Linked DNA regions of Xenopus tropicalis. The protein of the gene in region 1 purifies or fractionates together with the protein of each later gene. This does not show direct contact. Links are inferred from orthologs where the notes say so. Each region holds a gene or a part of one and is shown on either strand. Other genes may lie near its edges.

The links.
Region 2: the proteins of pam16 (region 1) and dnajc19 purify together in Homo sapiens (affinity purification with mass spectrometry; 3 studies listed by BioGRID and IntAct, with this or other methods). This does not show direct contact. The link is inferred for Xenopus tropicalis from reciprocal best matches to the Homo sapiens genes PAM16 and DNAJC19.

What each region holds. Positions count from the first base shown.
Region 1 is NC_030685.2:20,381,937-20,389,962, forward strand, and holds the start of pam16 (mitochondrial import inner membrane translocase subunit tim16), read left to right. Parts: upstream 1-3,385; 5' UTR 3,386-3,478; coding exon 3,479-3,481; intron 3,482-4,971; coding exon 4,972-5,056; intron 5,057-5,684; coding exon 5,685-5,821; intron 5,822-6,573; coding exon 6,574-6,639; intron 6,640-8,026. UniProt on the Homo sapiens protein: Regulates ATP-dependent protein translocation into the mitochondrial matrix. Inhibits DNAJC19 stimulation of HSPA9/Mortalin ATPase activity.
Region 2 is NC_030682.2:8,216,662-8,224,783, forward strand, and holds the start of dnajc19 (mitochondrial import inner membrane translocase subunit TIM14), read left to right. Parts: upstream 1-3,960; 5' UTR 3,961-4,059; coding exon 4,060-4,062; intron 4,063-4,143; exon of another isoform or gene 4,144-4,177; intron 4,178-6,688; coding exon 6,689-6,740; intron 6,741-6,966; coding exon 6,967-7,040; intron 7,041-8,122. UniProt on the Homo sapiens protein: Mitochondrial co-chaperone which forms a complex with prohibitins to regulate cardiolipin remodeling.

The DNA.
Region 1 (8,026 bases):
TTTCTTACTGTAGTTAGGGTTAACTTTAAACTAGTTCCACAAGCACACTAGCCGTCACAGGGTTAATATTACAGTCAAACCCACTCTCCAGCTAGCAATTCAACTGGTTAATTAGCCTTTCCACAGAACTGGTCCCCCCCCTACTCAACACACACACACAGCCAAGCAGTTAATACCTTTAGGCCTGAGCAGTTATACAAGGTATGTGGAGATCGTTATAGAGCCGAAGGACAGAACTTATTCAATTTTATATTTAATATTACAAAGGTAAACAGTGCAAAAAAGGTTTTACAAAAAGAGACATGTACATACAAACAGTAAATAAAATAAAAGGAAATAAAATACCTAGTTATCTTTTGTGTCCTCTGAGGTAGGAATTTGGAAATCCTGAGCCCACACTCCAACATAAGTTGAGACCTCCAGAATGAGCTAAAGAATACCTGGGCATGCGTGCTTTTATCCCCCGCTGGGCCCCTCCCTTATTACAGTATGCATGAGGGGGATTGTCCAGAAACTGGTCACATGACCCCCCCTGTAAAGAGCTGCACTTCTTATGCCAGTTTCTTGTCATATAATATTGGTACTTGCCAGTAGCCAATATTATTATGAAAGTAGGGGATTGTTTTAACCCATATGTGGGTGATCAAAATGATACCAAACATGAGGGGTGTCTCCTGTCCCAATCCCCCAGAAACTATCCCCCCTAACTGGTGGGTATAGGCCGTCCCTGTTTGGTATCATTGGGAAGCATGCGGCCCCCTCATAACCAATATATGATTTATGAGGATGTGAACCCTAAAGCAAAGGAGATATGGATCCCTTTCTATAATCCAGATTTTTCTGTATGCTGTTCCCCCCTGCAGTTCTAGGTCCACACTTTGCCTTGGTTTGATCAGCAGATCAAAGAAACGTAATGAAGTTGTCACCTTCCACAGTCCCTGGTTGTGTCTTTAGGGGGTATTTGTGAATTTCCCTCAAATGTGGATTCCAACCAGACTTTCTAAATTGAAAACTTAACCCTTTACATGTTGAGCCTTACTGCTTCAACATGACAATTATAGTGATTTGCGAGGAGGCAATAAGATATCCTCTTGACATGTATCTATACTCGTTGGTGTATGTAGCCCTTACTATGGCCATGTTGTCAGTGCCGTGGGGCCTTTTGATGTAGGGTTGCCACCCTGCTGGTGCCGCTATCCATTTATGCCTACAATTTTCCCATTTAAGCCCTCACATTCACCCCAATCCCCACTCCCACCATCCCCATCTCCCAGTCTGTGACCCTAGTCCTGCCAGTCTCCACCCACATGATATCCCCACCTGTCTGTCTGGCATAAAATTGGGAAAAGGTGGCAACTGTAAGTGGATATTGGGACTGGGATGAAGATAACCCTAAAGGAGAGGCAGGAACACAGTTCAGAACTGATGGTCAAATGTTTTAACAAGTTTCATCAACAGAATTCAGGCAAAGGTCAGGGCTGGCAGCAGAGTAACAGGAACTGGTAAAGAGTGAAAAACTGGAATATCGAGAATTATAACACAACCAGGATCTCAGCACTGAAAGACCTACAATATTGCACTGAATATGCTCTTGGCTTACTTTTATTTTGAATTTATAATATAGAACCTATAGGCGGGCACTTCTGGTACACAGGAACTGCTGAGCAAGGTCTGTCTAGTACTAAATAGCCTAAAAGGAACATTTTAAAGGTTTCTTAATTAACTTAATTTTAATTAATTTCGTCTAGCCGTATAATTGTGTAAAAATGTAAATTCAGCAGCTATCTGATTGCTAAGGTCCCATTAACCCTAGCAACCAGAATGAGAGACTTGAATATGAATAGGTGAGGGTCTGAACAGAAAGATATCAAGAAGCAATATTAAAACAGTAGCCTCAGGTTCTTGATTCTACGGGTCACTGACCCTGATCTGAATGCTGGAAAACGCCAGAGGAAAGTCAAAGGCAATTAATTCAAAAACTATAAAAGGATGACCAATTGAAAAGTTGTAAGATGAATTTTAGCTTCACAGCCAGACTTTCTATTACATCCAAATGGGGAAAAGATCCTCCAGTAGCCGGAGAAGTCATCACATGAAACTTATGGAAGAGATGATCTCTACACAATGCTGTATTTATTAACATTGGAGACAACAGCACTGGTGATGTTGCCCATAGCAACCAATCAAATTTTTGCTTTGTTTTCTTGTAGGTGACCATTCAAATCTAATTGCTGATTGGTCGACATCACCAGTTATGTTTGTCTCTGATGTTAATAAATACACAGTGTCCTCTGCTTCTTTCTCAGCTATGTGAACAAAAAAAAACATTGTGCAGGCATTTTAAACTTTATGTTTTAAACTGTGTGCTCAGGTCTGAATAAATGTAACATTTTGTGTTTCCGCAAAAATATTCTTTGTGTGCATCACAATTTGTGTGTGGGCAGGCCTGAAAATTAGAAACACTATGGGGGAGATTCACTAATCCACAAATCCGAATCCCGAAAGGGAAAAAATCGGATTGGAAACGAAAATTTTGCGACTTTTTCGTCGGCGTCTCAATTTTTTCGTCACCACCGTGACTTTATCGTATTTTGCGCCACTATTTCGTCGCTGTCGAGATTTTTTCGTATTGAGCGGTTGTAAACGGCGGAAAAACCAATCTGATTTTTTAGCGACAGCGACGACGACGAAAAAGTCGCAATGCCGACGAAAAAGTTGCAAAAATACCAATCATTACGAAAAAAACGCATTCGGACGCCTTCGGACCGTTTGTGAATTAGTAAATCTCCCCCTATGGGTAGCGTTGGTGATCATAATTTTAAAGACTGGGTACTACAATGTGAATTATTTTTATACTTTATTTCTTTTGTCTGTTTGGTATTAATCAATCATATAAAGAGGCAATAACCCAGAGCTTATAGTGATTTTCATTACTTTTTTTATTCTCTTCTATTGTTGTATAATTGTTCTTACCCAACATACTATGTGACCAGTATAACTGGAACCTTCTGTTCATACAATATATTAAAACCAATAAAAACAAAGTTTTAAAAACAATTGCGCACAGCTTTGAGGGAACATTGCCCCTATAGAGGGGTATTTTCTTTTATTTGATTAATAATACTATTTTCTAATTATTCTGGTTTTAAGTGAAACAAAAGCAAAACCAACAAAACCAAGCCGCGACCTTCCCAACTAAACTAAGCCCCTATTCGGCTCTCATAAGGAAACACAACATCCTGGAACTACAAAGATGGCGCTACTGCATATCCGGTTGAACCATGTGCGTAACGTCATTCAAAAAGGCAGCATTGCCGGACGTCTGGTTACGTTACATCAGCCAAGGCGGAGCTGTCATGGTAACCCATGTGGACGAATGAGAGGACCAATATGGCCGCCTAGTGTCTTCCGGCTGCGCTATTCCCTCTGACCCCGCACGATTAACCTTGAGTGTTTCAGCGCTGGGCCCCTAATCAAGATGGTAAGTAAGACATAGGGTAAAGGAGTATTAGATACGGATCTGTCTAAACGTGGAGTAAGGACAAGTGACAGACTGAGACGTGAAATCCTGTGGGGCTGGGTGACATGTCCTGTCTCAGCAGCTCGATACCCTGTGGCACTGGCACTTGTTTGTGGTGTTATACTTCCAGCATAGACACACTGTTCCATTCTTATTGCTGTGCCTCATGTATACAGGGCTCATATTCCCTTCCCTTGTTGTGTTGCCTTGTGTGTGTGCAGCAGTGACGCCAAGTACGGACTCCAGAGTTGTCACCTGTCCCTGGAATTTAGGGACAGGTGACAACTCTGGTGTCCGTACTTGGTGTCACTGCTGCACACACACAAGGCAACACAACAAGGGAAGGGATGTGAATATGCCCTTGGTTTTGTTACTCTGTCCCTAGATTTCTTTCCATAAAAGAATTCCATATGTTTATAAAAACTGACCAACTGCTTAGTAAACCTCCAGGCTTTTGTGATTTATCACTTTAGCACCAGCGTATTCTGTAGCGCTGTACAGTGTGATTATTGAATTTATTATCATTATGGCGCCAGCATATTCTGTAGCGCTGTACAGTGTGATTATGGAATTTATTATTATTATGGCACCAGTGTATTCTGTAGCGCTGTACAGTGTGATTATGGAATTTATTATTATTATGGCACCAGCGTATTCTGTAGCGCTGTACAGTGTGATTATTGAATTTATTATCATTATGGCGCCAGCATATTCTGTAGCGCTGTACAGTGTGATTATGGAATTTATTATTATTATGGCACCAGTGTATTCTGTAGCGCTGTACAGTATATACTGGGGAAAGCACATCCTAAAGCAGAAGCCTGTTTTTTAAAAGATGCAGAGGTTCTCAAAAGAGCAGTCAGATCAAGTTTTATTTTGTTTTTGACTTCAGACAGTAACTATAGAGGAAGCAGACCCTGCAGCTGCAAGGGGCCCTGGATTGTAGGGGGCCCAGTAAGGCCCTAAGTAATGAGCAATTTCAATAGAGCTTGATAGAATGGGTCAATTTATCAATGTTTTGGGGGCCCTTAATTGAATTTGCTGGTGGGCTCAGTGACACTTAGTTACGCCACTTGCTTCAGATAGACTCCTTGGGTATATACCCCTTTTAGTATGATACCTTTTGTTTCTGATTTTCTATGTTAAAAGTTTTCTGGTTCTGTTTACTCTGCCAGCACTAAGCTTTCTTATCTCTTTCTTACTTGGCCCCATTATGGTTCACTGACTATTTGCTTGAATATTATCAAACACCTTATCAGGCAAGGCACACCAGCCCAGGGAAAAACTTGCCCAACATATTGGCACTTGCGGTGAATTCGCCTTCCATTGTCCAACAAGTTGGTTGTTGATAAAACCTCTCTGTCCCCAGCTCACGTTAATGTTCAAATTCTCACAAAAGGACATAATTGCTTTTTATTTACCCCCTGTGCCCTTTGTTGTTTCCTTTGCAGGCCAAGTACTTGGCACAGATCATGGTGATGGGTATGCAAGTGGTGGGCCGGGCATTCACACGTGCCCTACGGCAGGAGTTTGCTGGTAAGACTACAATACAGATACTGAATAAGAATCCAATACTAATTTTATCAATATAATGAGAACTATATATATATATATTTTATAATATCTAATACGTATATAATCTTTCATAACTTGGCACTTGTACACATAAACAGAGCAATGGCTCTGCCGTTTCATTTGCTAACCATTTGTACTGTGTATGACCACTGTCAGAGAAGGGGAGGCTTTGATTTTAAAAAAAAAATTGCCAAAGTGTTCAGCATTTAGTTCCCCTTTAAAAGCCACGCATTTGCTTCCATGTAATTATATGAGGAGATGCTGAAGGGTTGGGTATTGTGCAAGAAAAGATAGGGACCATATATTTGTGGCCCCTTGGGGTGCTTCTGTAGCAGTGCCTTGTGCGTAACCTCTAATAGAGAAGGAAGGCTCACACTACACACTAAGCTAAGAAACCTTATTTATGGAATCACAGAAACACCCAATTAATTTCTATATAATTTTCTCCCACCCTGGAAAATGTCCAGGAAATCACCCAGAATAGTGCAAAACATTTTGATTGCCTAAATGGTTCTCACCAGAGGGATGGCTGCCCCTTGTCTCTGCTCTCACTAATTCTTCTCCTTTCCCTATGGGGTCTGTTTTGTAGCAAGCAGGGCAGCAGCTGAAGCGCGGGGGCGAGCTGGGACAGAGTCAGCGGCAGTCAGCAGCCTGTCTGGCATAAGCCTTCAGGAGGCCCAGCAGATCCTAAATGTCTCCAAACTGACACCAGAGGAGATCCAGAAGGTAAAACTGTAAAAATATATATATATAATATAGTGAATAAAGTACCACCTTTTGTAAAATATTAGGATATTATAAGTTACTGAGGAGTTGCATGACCATATAAAAGCACAAGACCAAAAGCTGTACTTTTATACAGGTGATGGAACTCCTGAGGTGACTTCTAATATCCTCATATTTTTTAACAGGGAGTACATTATTTATTATAATATTGAGCAATTATAACTGATTATATCGCCAAGCACCATTTAAACTTACAGGATATTAACGGCTCTTGTTTATTATATATCTATATAAATATAGTTGCATCATTGCATTAATATCATTAATTCATCTGTTCTGTCTGTACAAGGTCGGCCTATGATAATTCCCATCAGCCCATGTTTAATTCCGCCATGGGCCTATGTAAAAACCTATACTGTTGAGCACTGTCTGTATTGAATTACTGTGAGAGTGGGCCTAAGGTTTCAGGTTCTCCAGTGGGCCCTAGGAGACCCAGTTAACCCTGTCATGCCCTCTTTTTAGTGAATTCTGTTTCTATACTGTTTATTTTTCTGCCCTTCCCTAGAGACAATTGACTCTCTGCTCCCTCAGGCGTATTACCTTGTTTCAGTGTTACATGACATTGGCATCAATAATAAATGGCAGCAGTGAGGTTATTGTCATTAGCCTTGCCGTATCCTTGGCATTCTCACTCGCAGTCTGTTCATTCAGCTGATTGGCTTTTATTGTGACCTCACTCCGTCTCTCAACAGAACTACGAGCACCTGTTCAAGGTCAATGACAAAGAAGTAGGCGGATCCTTCTACTTGCAGTCTAAGGTGAGGTGCCGCCCAAGGATGGGTTACCCTGCTGTGCCCAACCTCTATACAATATTCTATCATTTGACATGCACAAAGCAGGATTTGGGGTCATTAGTGAGTTAATTTCTTGTGTCTCTGCTTCAGTGCAATGAAATCACCCAGCAATAGCTTTTCCATATGCAATTAGATTCATGCGTTCATTTTTTTTGTAATACAGGTAGGGGACCTATTATCCAGAATGCTCAGGACCTGGGGTTTTTCAGATAAGGGATATTTCTTCTAAAAAAAAAATAATTTAAACATGAACTAAACCCAATAGGATTGATTTACCTCCAATAAGGATTAATTATATCTTAGTTGGGATCAAGTACAGGTACTGTTTTATTATTACAGAGAAAAGGGAATCATTTAACCATTAAATAAACCCAATAGGGCTGTTCTGCCCCCAATAAGGGGTAATTATATCTTAGTTGGGATCAAGTACAGGTACTGTTTTATTATTACAGAGAAAAGGGAATCATTTAACCATTAAATAAACCCAATAGGGCTGTTCTGCCCCCAATAAGGGGTAATTATATCTTAGTTGGGATCAAGTACAGGTACTGTTTTATTATTACAGAGAAAAGGGAATCATTTAACCATTAAATAAACCCAATAGGACTGTTCTGCCCCCAATAAGGGGTAATTATATCTTAGTTGGGATCAAGTACAAGGTACTGTTTTATTATATCATTTTGAATTAATTGGAGATGACCCGAAACCTTTTACAAATTCTTCCAGGCTAGTCTAGTCTAGACCCTCCCACAGTCCTAAGTCACTGACTTGCCCATTCTAATTGGCATCGCACAGAACTACCTTCTCATGATCTATGTCAGTGCCCAGAATTAATAAAAGCAATTGTTGTGGCGTGTGTTACATACATAATAAGGCCTAGGTCCAGGCCCGGACTGGCAAATCCCATAGTGACTGCTGTAAGATAGACACTATTTAGTGGGCTGGTAGGGGGCACCTTTGCAACCCCCAACTCTGCCCTGGAATCCTTGGTATGTCGCTACTTTCTGTAGTCCGGACCTTGTTCTGTACAATCTGCTCTATTTGTGTACCCTCCGGCCAAAATGCCTCACAAGCCATAAGGAATGCCTTGTAGCAGTGAAAGTAACATGGATGCAGATAATGGCACCGCTGAGTAGAAAATTGCAGCTATTGGTTTGCCATTGAGCTTAAAGCATTGCAAGGAGCGCAGAACTATGCCTACCCATGCATTCATCCGCACAGGGAGATTAGCATCTGACATGGAAGGATTTAGGCATCAAGCAGGAATCTGTAAACATGCTGCCTGTCAGTATGGAATCCTAATAGCTGCCACTACTTTATATATTTAAAGCTTTAAAGTGATTCTTTAGAA
Region 2 (8,122 bases), on another chromosome or scaffold:
ATCTCTAGCGCTACTTCAACTGGGCCCCCAGTTTCTGCTGTCTCTATTGGTGCTGTGCACGCACACGCTCATCTGCGTCCAAGGGGTGAGTGCGCGTTACATCTCCAGCGCTACTTAAACCAATTGGTGCTGTGCGCTCACTCGCTGTGTTCTGACTGACTCACACTGAAGGCGGAAGTGGCGCTGCCTCCCCGCTGTACTTTGCCTTCTAGTCGCGGAGTTAGACTGTGCTTCCTAAAAGTTTCTTCTATTGCTGTGATGAACAAGTCACCTTGTGCTGTAGCTGAAATCAAATTACACAGGTACAGATAGGGCTTGATAGTCCCAGTGCTAAGCACGTTTGTGTTAAATGATGGAGGATGTTGGGTGCATAATGGGAAATATGCTTTTAAACCTCTGCTGTGGCAGTTAATAATAATATTGCTTTTCTCAAAGGCACATGTGTCAACTATGGGTTGCCTGTTTTATTTGAGACCAATGCCAGGAATCACAGTTAGCTGGAAGGTTACACAGACTAACTGATGCCAGTGACAGTGGAGGATATGAATAATGATACTGAAAACTACACAGAGAAGTTTATACGGTAGCACCATAGAAGTATTTTGCCACTCCATTGAGTTTTATTGAAGGGAGTTCTTGTTTATTGTGCAATATATCAAGGAATGAACAAAACAAGATGTTTTTCTATTTCTAACTTATAAGCTGCATAGCTTAGTTAAATATAACCTAACCTATAACTGTTAACCTAACCTATAACTGTTAATCTACTTGAAGTCCAGCATCAAGAATTATTTTGCCCTTGTAACTACTATTGTAGTACTGTGGTGGGACTTGTACACTGGTGTCCAAGTACTTATAATAATTGATGATAATTAGTATGGCAGCTTCCTTAGTGTTCCCAAACTTGCTTTGGTCTGCTGCTGTAGCATTTTTCTTTCCCTAAAGTTATATATTTATTTATCTGTTATTTATTTGATTATTGAAACTTAGCAGTAGCGGCTGCATTTCCCACCCTAGGCTTATACTCGAGTCAATAAGTTTTTCCAGTTTTCTTAGGTAAAATTAGGTACCTCGGCTTATATTCGGATCGGCTTATACTCGAGTATATACGGTACATCTCTTTTTCCTTATCTAAAGTGAAGCTTCACCCCTTTTGCTTACTGAGCCCTCCTCCTCTTCTTCAACTATAATGACCTCAAAGAGGTGCCTACTGTGCTGCCTGATTTTAATTGGAGCAGAGGCATGAGCATGCCCAGTAGGCACCGCTTGAGGTCATCATAGTAGGAGAGAGGAGGGCTCAGACTATAAAAGGGGTGGAGCTTCATGCTGCACAAAGAAGTCAGTAAAAGAGCTGCAGTTCAGCTGTTGTAATAGAGAAACAAACTAAACCTGCATGCAGGGAGAAAGGTATGTTATTCTGGGAGCTGTACAGAGTCATTTTAGGGGATTTTAAAATAAAAAGCTTACTTAAGCCACCCCTTTTGCACCAGTGTTCAGGCTTATAAGAAAGTGGAAACTTCCAAATTTCCTTAGGTTTTGCCCATGAAATATTTTGCCTGCACCGGGTGACCTGCGGCATAGAGGCGGGGCAGGCAATATATGATTAACGGCTCAGATTTGTAAATACAATTCATACAGGTATGAATTTAACAAAAAAAATTGGGGCTTGATGTTTAATTTGCAAAGGACTGTGATTATGTGGCTTTTTGTGTGGGTGATGGGTCCCCTTTAAACATGGTTCCTTTAGAATGGGGGTCCCCAATCTTTTTTTTTTTAACCTTGAGCCACATTCTAATAGAGCTGGGCGGTATGACCAAAAATTTATATCACGGTATTTTTCAAAATTATATCGGTGTCACGGTATTTGACGGTATTTTTTTTTCCATGCATGATCTTGGGCAGCACAGGTACAGACACACGGGGAGGCACAGGTACAGACACACGGGGAGGCACAGGTACAGACACACGGGGAGGCACAGGTACAGACACACGGGGAGGCACAGGTCAATGCTAGAGGGAGATTTATAAGAAGAGGGTGAGACTCAGATGCCCCCCCCCAGGTATGTATGGAACGTATCACACAAATAAATAATATATGACAGCACATACTGATAGGCACAATAAGAGGGCCATAAAGAAGGATACTTATAATTTGTAATGTCGGGGGCTCTCAAAGCCCTCGTCCCCTTTCTTCCTATTCATTGCGCCGGTCTCAGCAGTACTGCCTCACACAGCTGCCAGCCGATTCCCGGCTTATGTAAGCACACGCTTTATGCCTCCGTGCCCCGGCTGCGGTTGCTATGGTAACGGGTGAAGCTCTGCCAGCGATCAAATTTCTCTCGCGCTCCATCAAAGTCCCGGCATGTACCTTATCCCAAGCACTTCCGCCCTCCGGCTCTTAAGCTTCAACTCCCGGGATCTGCACCGGGAATGACGCATGCATGCCAGAGAGCTTATTAAAAATACTTTTTTGTATCATGAAAGCGCAAGGAGGCGCGCAAGACCGGCCGCACGTGAGTACCGTGACACACCGGTATGTGCAAAATGAATATAATTTTAAAAAAAAACACCGGTATTCGGTGTTAACCGGTATACCGCCCAGCACTACATTCTAATGTAAAAAGAATTGGGGAGCAACACAAGCACAAGTTCCAGGAGGTGCCAAATAAGGGCTGTGATTGGCTATTTGGACTGGCAGCCTACAGGCTTTGTTTGGTTTGTATGCAACCAGGGCCGGCAGGACACCAGGAAAAAACCCAGTGGGCCCCCCCTGGCCCAGAACCAATCCCTGCTGGGTGCTCTGGGCCCCGTAGGTCCTCTCTCTTATACATCAGGGATTGAATTGATGTCTATAAAAATGAATTTATTATGGACCACGTAATCTAATGATTTATTATGGTCATTATAGTGATTAATGTGAATCCCTATATGGAATAAATATTGTGGACCCCTACATCTCTGCACATTCTTGTATATAGTATATAGTGCATATCACCCACCCACCAATAAATTAGTCGCCCTTTTCTGCCACTCCATGCTCCATTGGAGTTAATTAGTTAATTGAAACATTATCAACTGTGGTTGCAGTTGATTGATTTTATGCACTGATTATGACAATTATTGTCTATTTCAACTAAAGTCTATAATAAAGCTTGTTGATTTTAGGGCACAACACCAACATTTTTTTTTTTTTTTTTTCTGTTTTCTATTATTGATTTGGGTGGGAAACACCCGGTGTGAGCCTGATAGGAATAATAAGACATGGATAATACACTCTTCTTGTCTTTTTGTATTTACCTCTCTTGACGTGCCTAAGTATGCATGCTCAGAGGAGGGGGGGGCTGCGCTGGAAGCCCCGGTGGTCCCTGCACCCCCCCCCAACCCAACCCAACCCAACCCAACCCTACCCTGTATGCAACCAAAATTTGTCCCCAAGCTAGGAATACAAAATCCAAAGGGTTGGAGAGCAACATGTTGCCCCCAAGGCACTGGTTGGGGATCACTGATTTAGAAGAACAGTTTGAGCTCAGTGGACGTGTCTCTTATCAAACACCACTACTATATAAAAATCTTCTGCCTTGCTGCTTCCCCCCCCCCCCTTTTAAATGGGCCTCTGATTGATAGACAAAGGACATCATGCAAGCGCATAAAAAACAAAAAAAGAGAACAATAATAGTGTAGTAAATCCAAATAAGTGATAAACGAACCAATTGTGAGTGACTAAGCAAGCAAAACATCAGCTTCGAATGGATTACTCCGCCCTGTCAGTGGCTCCTCCCCCCGCAGCCCTATACAGTACATCCCTGGCAGTCACGTGGTGCGGTTACTCGGCACCAATAGCAGTTAGGCACGCCCCTTAGTGACATGGCGCCGCCCCGCACACAGCCCGGGCAGTGACGTCGTAAGTCCGTAACCTTTGGAAAGTCGCCTTGTTCTGCTGTCAGCGGAGAGCGGGCCCATGCGGGAGGCGGGGCTGAGCCGGGATCCCCTCTGCTCCCCCGGATAAGGGCTCTGAGCTACTGCCCCCCCCGGGGTTATAACCCGCAGTGAGGAGTAAGGATGGTAAGTGGGGGCTCAGCTGGCTCCTCCCTGTACTGGCCCACTGGGCAACCATTTCCTCTGTGAGACAGGACAGGGCGGCTCAACTTCACTGAAAGTCAGGCAGCAGTGAGGCAGTGTGTGTAATATATATATATATATAGGCAGGTAGCCATAGTGTAATATATATATATATATAGGCAGTTAGCCATAGTGTAATATATATATAGGCAGGTAGCCATAGTGTAATATATATATATATATATAGGCAGGTAGCCATAGTGTAATATATATATATATAGGCAGTTAGCCATAGTGTAATATATATATAGGCAGGTAGCCATAGTGTAATATATATATATATATATAGGCAGGTAGCCATAGTGTAATATATATATATATATATATATAGGCACGTAGCCATAGTGTAATATATATATATATAGGCAGGTAGCCATAGTGTAATATATATATATAGGCAGGTAGCCATAGTGTAATATATATATATATATATAGGCAGGTAGCCATAGTGTAATATATATATATATATATATAGGCACGTAGCCATAGTGTAATATATATATATATAGGCAGGTAGCCATAGTGTAATATATATATATATAGGCAGGTAGCCATAGTGTAATATATATATATAGGCAGGTAGCCATAGTGTAATAGCGAATCAGGGGTGACTAGCAGGACTGGCCTTCAGGGGGTTCTAGCTGTGTCTGTGTGTATAAAATCCTATGGCAGGATATGTGGCAGCAGTGCCCTTGTGCCTATACAGTGTATGGGGGCGCTAGCCCTGTATCGGCTGGGGGGTTACATTGGCGCTTAAAGTGCACATATTGCCCTCTAATTGTACCCCCCACTGTAGGTGCTGGGCTAATACCATAGATGCTGGGCTAATACTGACTGGGCTGCATGATGCCAGGGGGAAGGGGGATATAGGAAGGCTGGGATTGTAGGGATACAGGGTTAGTAATAGGGAAGGGGATATAGGAAGGCTGGGATTGTAGGGATACAGGGTTAGTAATAGGGAAGGGGATATAGGAAGGCTGGGATTGTAGGGATACAGGGTTAGTAATAGGGAAGGGGGATATAGGAAGGCTGGGATTGTAGGGATACAGGGTTAGTAATAGGGAAGGGGGATATAGGAAGGCTGGGATTGTAGGGATACAGGGTGAGTAATAAGGAAGGGGGATATAGGAAGGCTGGGATTGTAGGGATACAGGGTGAGTAATAAGGAAGGGGGATATAGGAAGGCTGGGATTGTAGGGATACAGGGTGAGTAATAGGGAAGGGGATATAGGAAGGCTGGGATTGTAGGGATACAGGGTTAGTAATAGGGAAGGGGATATAGGAAGGCTGGGATTGTAGGGATACAGGGTTAGTAATAGGGAAGGGGATATAGGAAGGCTGGGATTGTAGGGATACAGGGTTAGTAATAGGGAAGGGGGATATAGGAAGGCTGGGATTGTAGGGATACAGGGTGAGTAATAGGGAAGGGGATATAGGAAGGCTGGGATTGTAGGGATACAGGGTGAGTAATAGGGAAGGGGATATAGGAAGGCTGGGATTGTAGGGATACAGGGTGAGTAATAGGGAAGGGGATATAGGAAGGCTGGGATTGTAGGGATACAGGGTTAGTAATAGGGAAGGGGATATAGGAAGGCTGGGATTGTAGGGATACAGGGTGAGTAATAGGGAAGGGGATATAGGAAGGCTGGGATTGTAGGGATACAGGGTGAGTAATAGGGAAGGGGATATAGAAAGGCTGGGATTGTAGGGATACAGGGTGAGTAATAGGGAAGGGGATATAGGAAGGCTGGGATTGTAGGGATACAGGGTGAGTAATAGGGAAGGGGATATAGAAAGGCTGGGATTGTAGGGATACAGGGTTAGTAATAGGGAAGGGGATATAGAAAGGCTGGGATTGTAGGGATACAGGGTTAGTAATAGGGAAGGGGATATAGAAAGGCTGGGATTGTAGGGATACAGGGTGAGTAATAGGGAAGGGGATATAGGAAGGCTGGGATTGTAGGGATACAGGGTTAGTAATAGGGAAGGGGATATAGGAAGGCTGGGATTGTAGGGATACAGGGTGAGTAATAGGGAAGGGGATATAGGAAGGCTGGGATTGTAGGGATACAGGGTTAGTAATAGGGAAGGGGATATAGAAAGGCTGGGATTGTAGGGATACAGGGTTAGTAATAGGGAAGGGGATATAGGAAGGCTGGGATTGTAGGGATACAGGATGAGTAATAGGGAAGGGGATATAGGAAGGCTGGGATTGTAGGGATACAGGGTTAGTAATAGGGAAGGGGATATAGGAAGGCTGGGATTGTAGGGATACAGGGTTAGTAATAGGGAAGGGGATATAGGAAGGCTGGGATTGTAGGGATACAGGGTTAGTAATAGGGAAGGGGATATAGGAAGGCTGGGATTGTAGGGATACAGGGTGAGTAATAGGGAAGGGGATATAGGAAGGCTGGGATTGTAGGGATACAGGGTTAGTAATAGGGAAGGGGATATAGGAAGGCTGGGATTGTAGGGATACAGGGTTAGTAATAGGGAAGGGGGATATAGGAAGGCTGGGATTGCAGAAGAAGATGGCACCCCTATTTACAGAGGCTCATTCTCTTTGCAGGCGAGCACCCTGATAGCGGCCGGACTGACCATCGCTGTTGCAGGATTTGCGGGTTAGTAGAACTGTAAGACTCACTTAGCTTGGCTTGCCTGTTGTCTCTACAGACTGACTTATTATTATTATTTATCAGCATATTAACTGTACAGTCCACTCATTCCCCATAGAGAAGCTGCATAAGTGGAATTAAAGATACTGACCCCCCAGAACACTGTTGAGCTGCTGCTATGGTATGGCAACTCCCTATTACATATGATTAGTAATGCATTCCTGTGTTTCAGGTCGCTATGCCGTGCAAGCCATGAAGCAGATGGAGCCGCAAGTGAAACAAGCTCTCCAGACCCTGCCAAAAACGGTAACGTTTGAGACATTTATGAGGATGGAACCCCTCTGCATCCTGTAAAATAAGCTGCATATATATATATATAATAAGTGTATGATGATGTAGAGTGTGATATTCTAAATCACTTTGCAGTAGTTTTTGAATTTAGGTTTTTATTCAGCAGCTCTCTAGATTGGAATTTCAGCAGCTATCTGGCTGCTAGGGTCCAATTTACCCTAGCAACCAGGCAGTGGTTAAATGCGCTAAATGCACAGCTTGGACTACCGGCTTAAAGTTACTTACGATGAAACGCTCTCACCCCACCAGGGGAATCCCTCAAGTTTCTCACCATTAATTAGGGGTGAGTAATGGTGAGAAAACTTGAGGGATTCCCCTGGTGGGGTGAGAGCGTTTCATCATAAGTAACTTTAAGCCGGTAGTCCAAGCTGTGCATTTAGCGCAGTGAACGTAAGGACTCCAGGCTGCTCAGACTTATAATAATACCCTTTCCCCTAAGTTTCTGTGTAATTTGTGTGCCCTATGCTCCGGAAATCCCCAAGATTATATTAATATTTTTGTGGGGCGACTAACTATCTTATAATAGCTGAACTAAGTACCACCGATCCTCCCTATAGCTCCCCGCACCCAACTTAATATCCATTTAGGGGTCGGCTTCACTTGTGTCTTAACGGTAGTAATGGTCAGGCTAAAGATAGCCAGGTGGAAGCTTTGACACTATCTCTGAATAAGAGTTTGTTGGGATAACTGCCGGAAAGGTAATACAACGGTTGTTACTATAAGCGCAACTGCATAGAAACACTGGGAGCCCTTAGTGTGCCTGAATTTTCCTCCTGGTGTTTCTCTTCTCAGATACGCGTAGTAAAGAGAATTATTGTGCAAATTGGGTATAGGATAAGGTGCGTGACATTACGTCACAGAGGTTTGTGTTTAATTTACTTACCTGAATTTTACGGTTGGATAACTGCTAATCATGGGCCCACACGGATAGAAACCTAAGTGGAGCAATTTTAAACTTACAATACTTACCCTGGAAAAACAATTGCACACAAATATTGCCGAGAGTATAGCAGGCAATAAGAGAGCGATATAGGGGT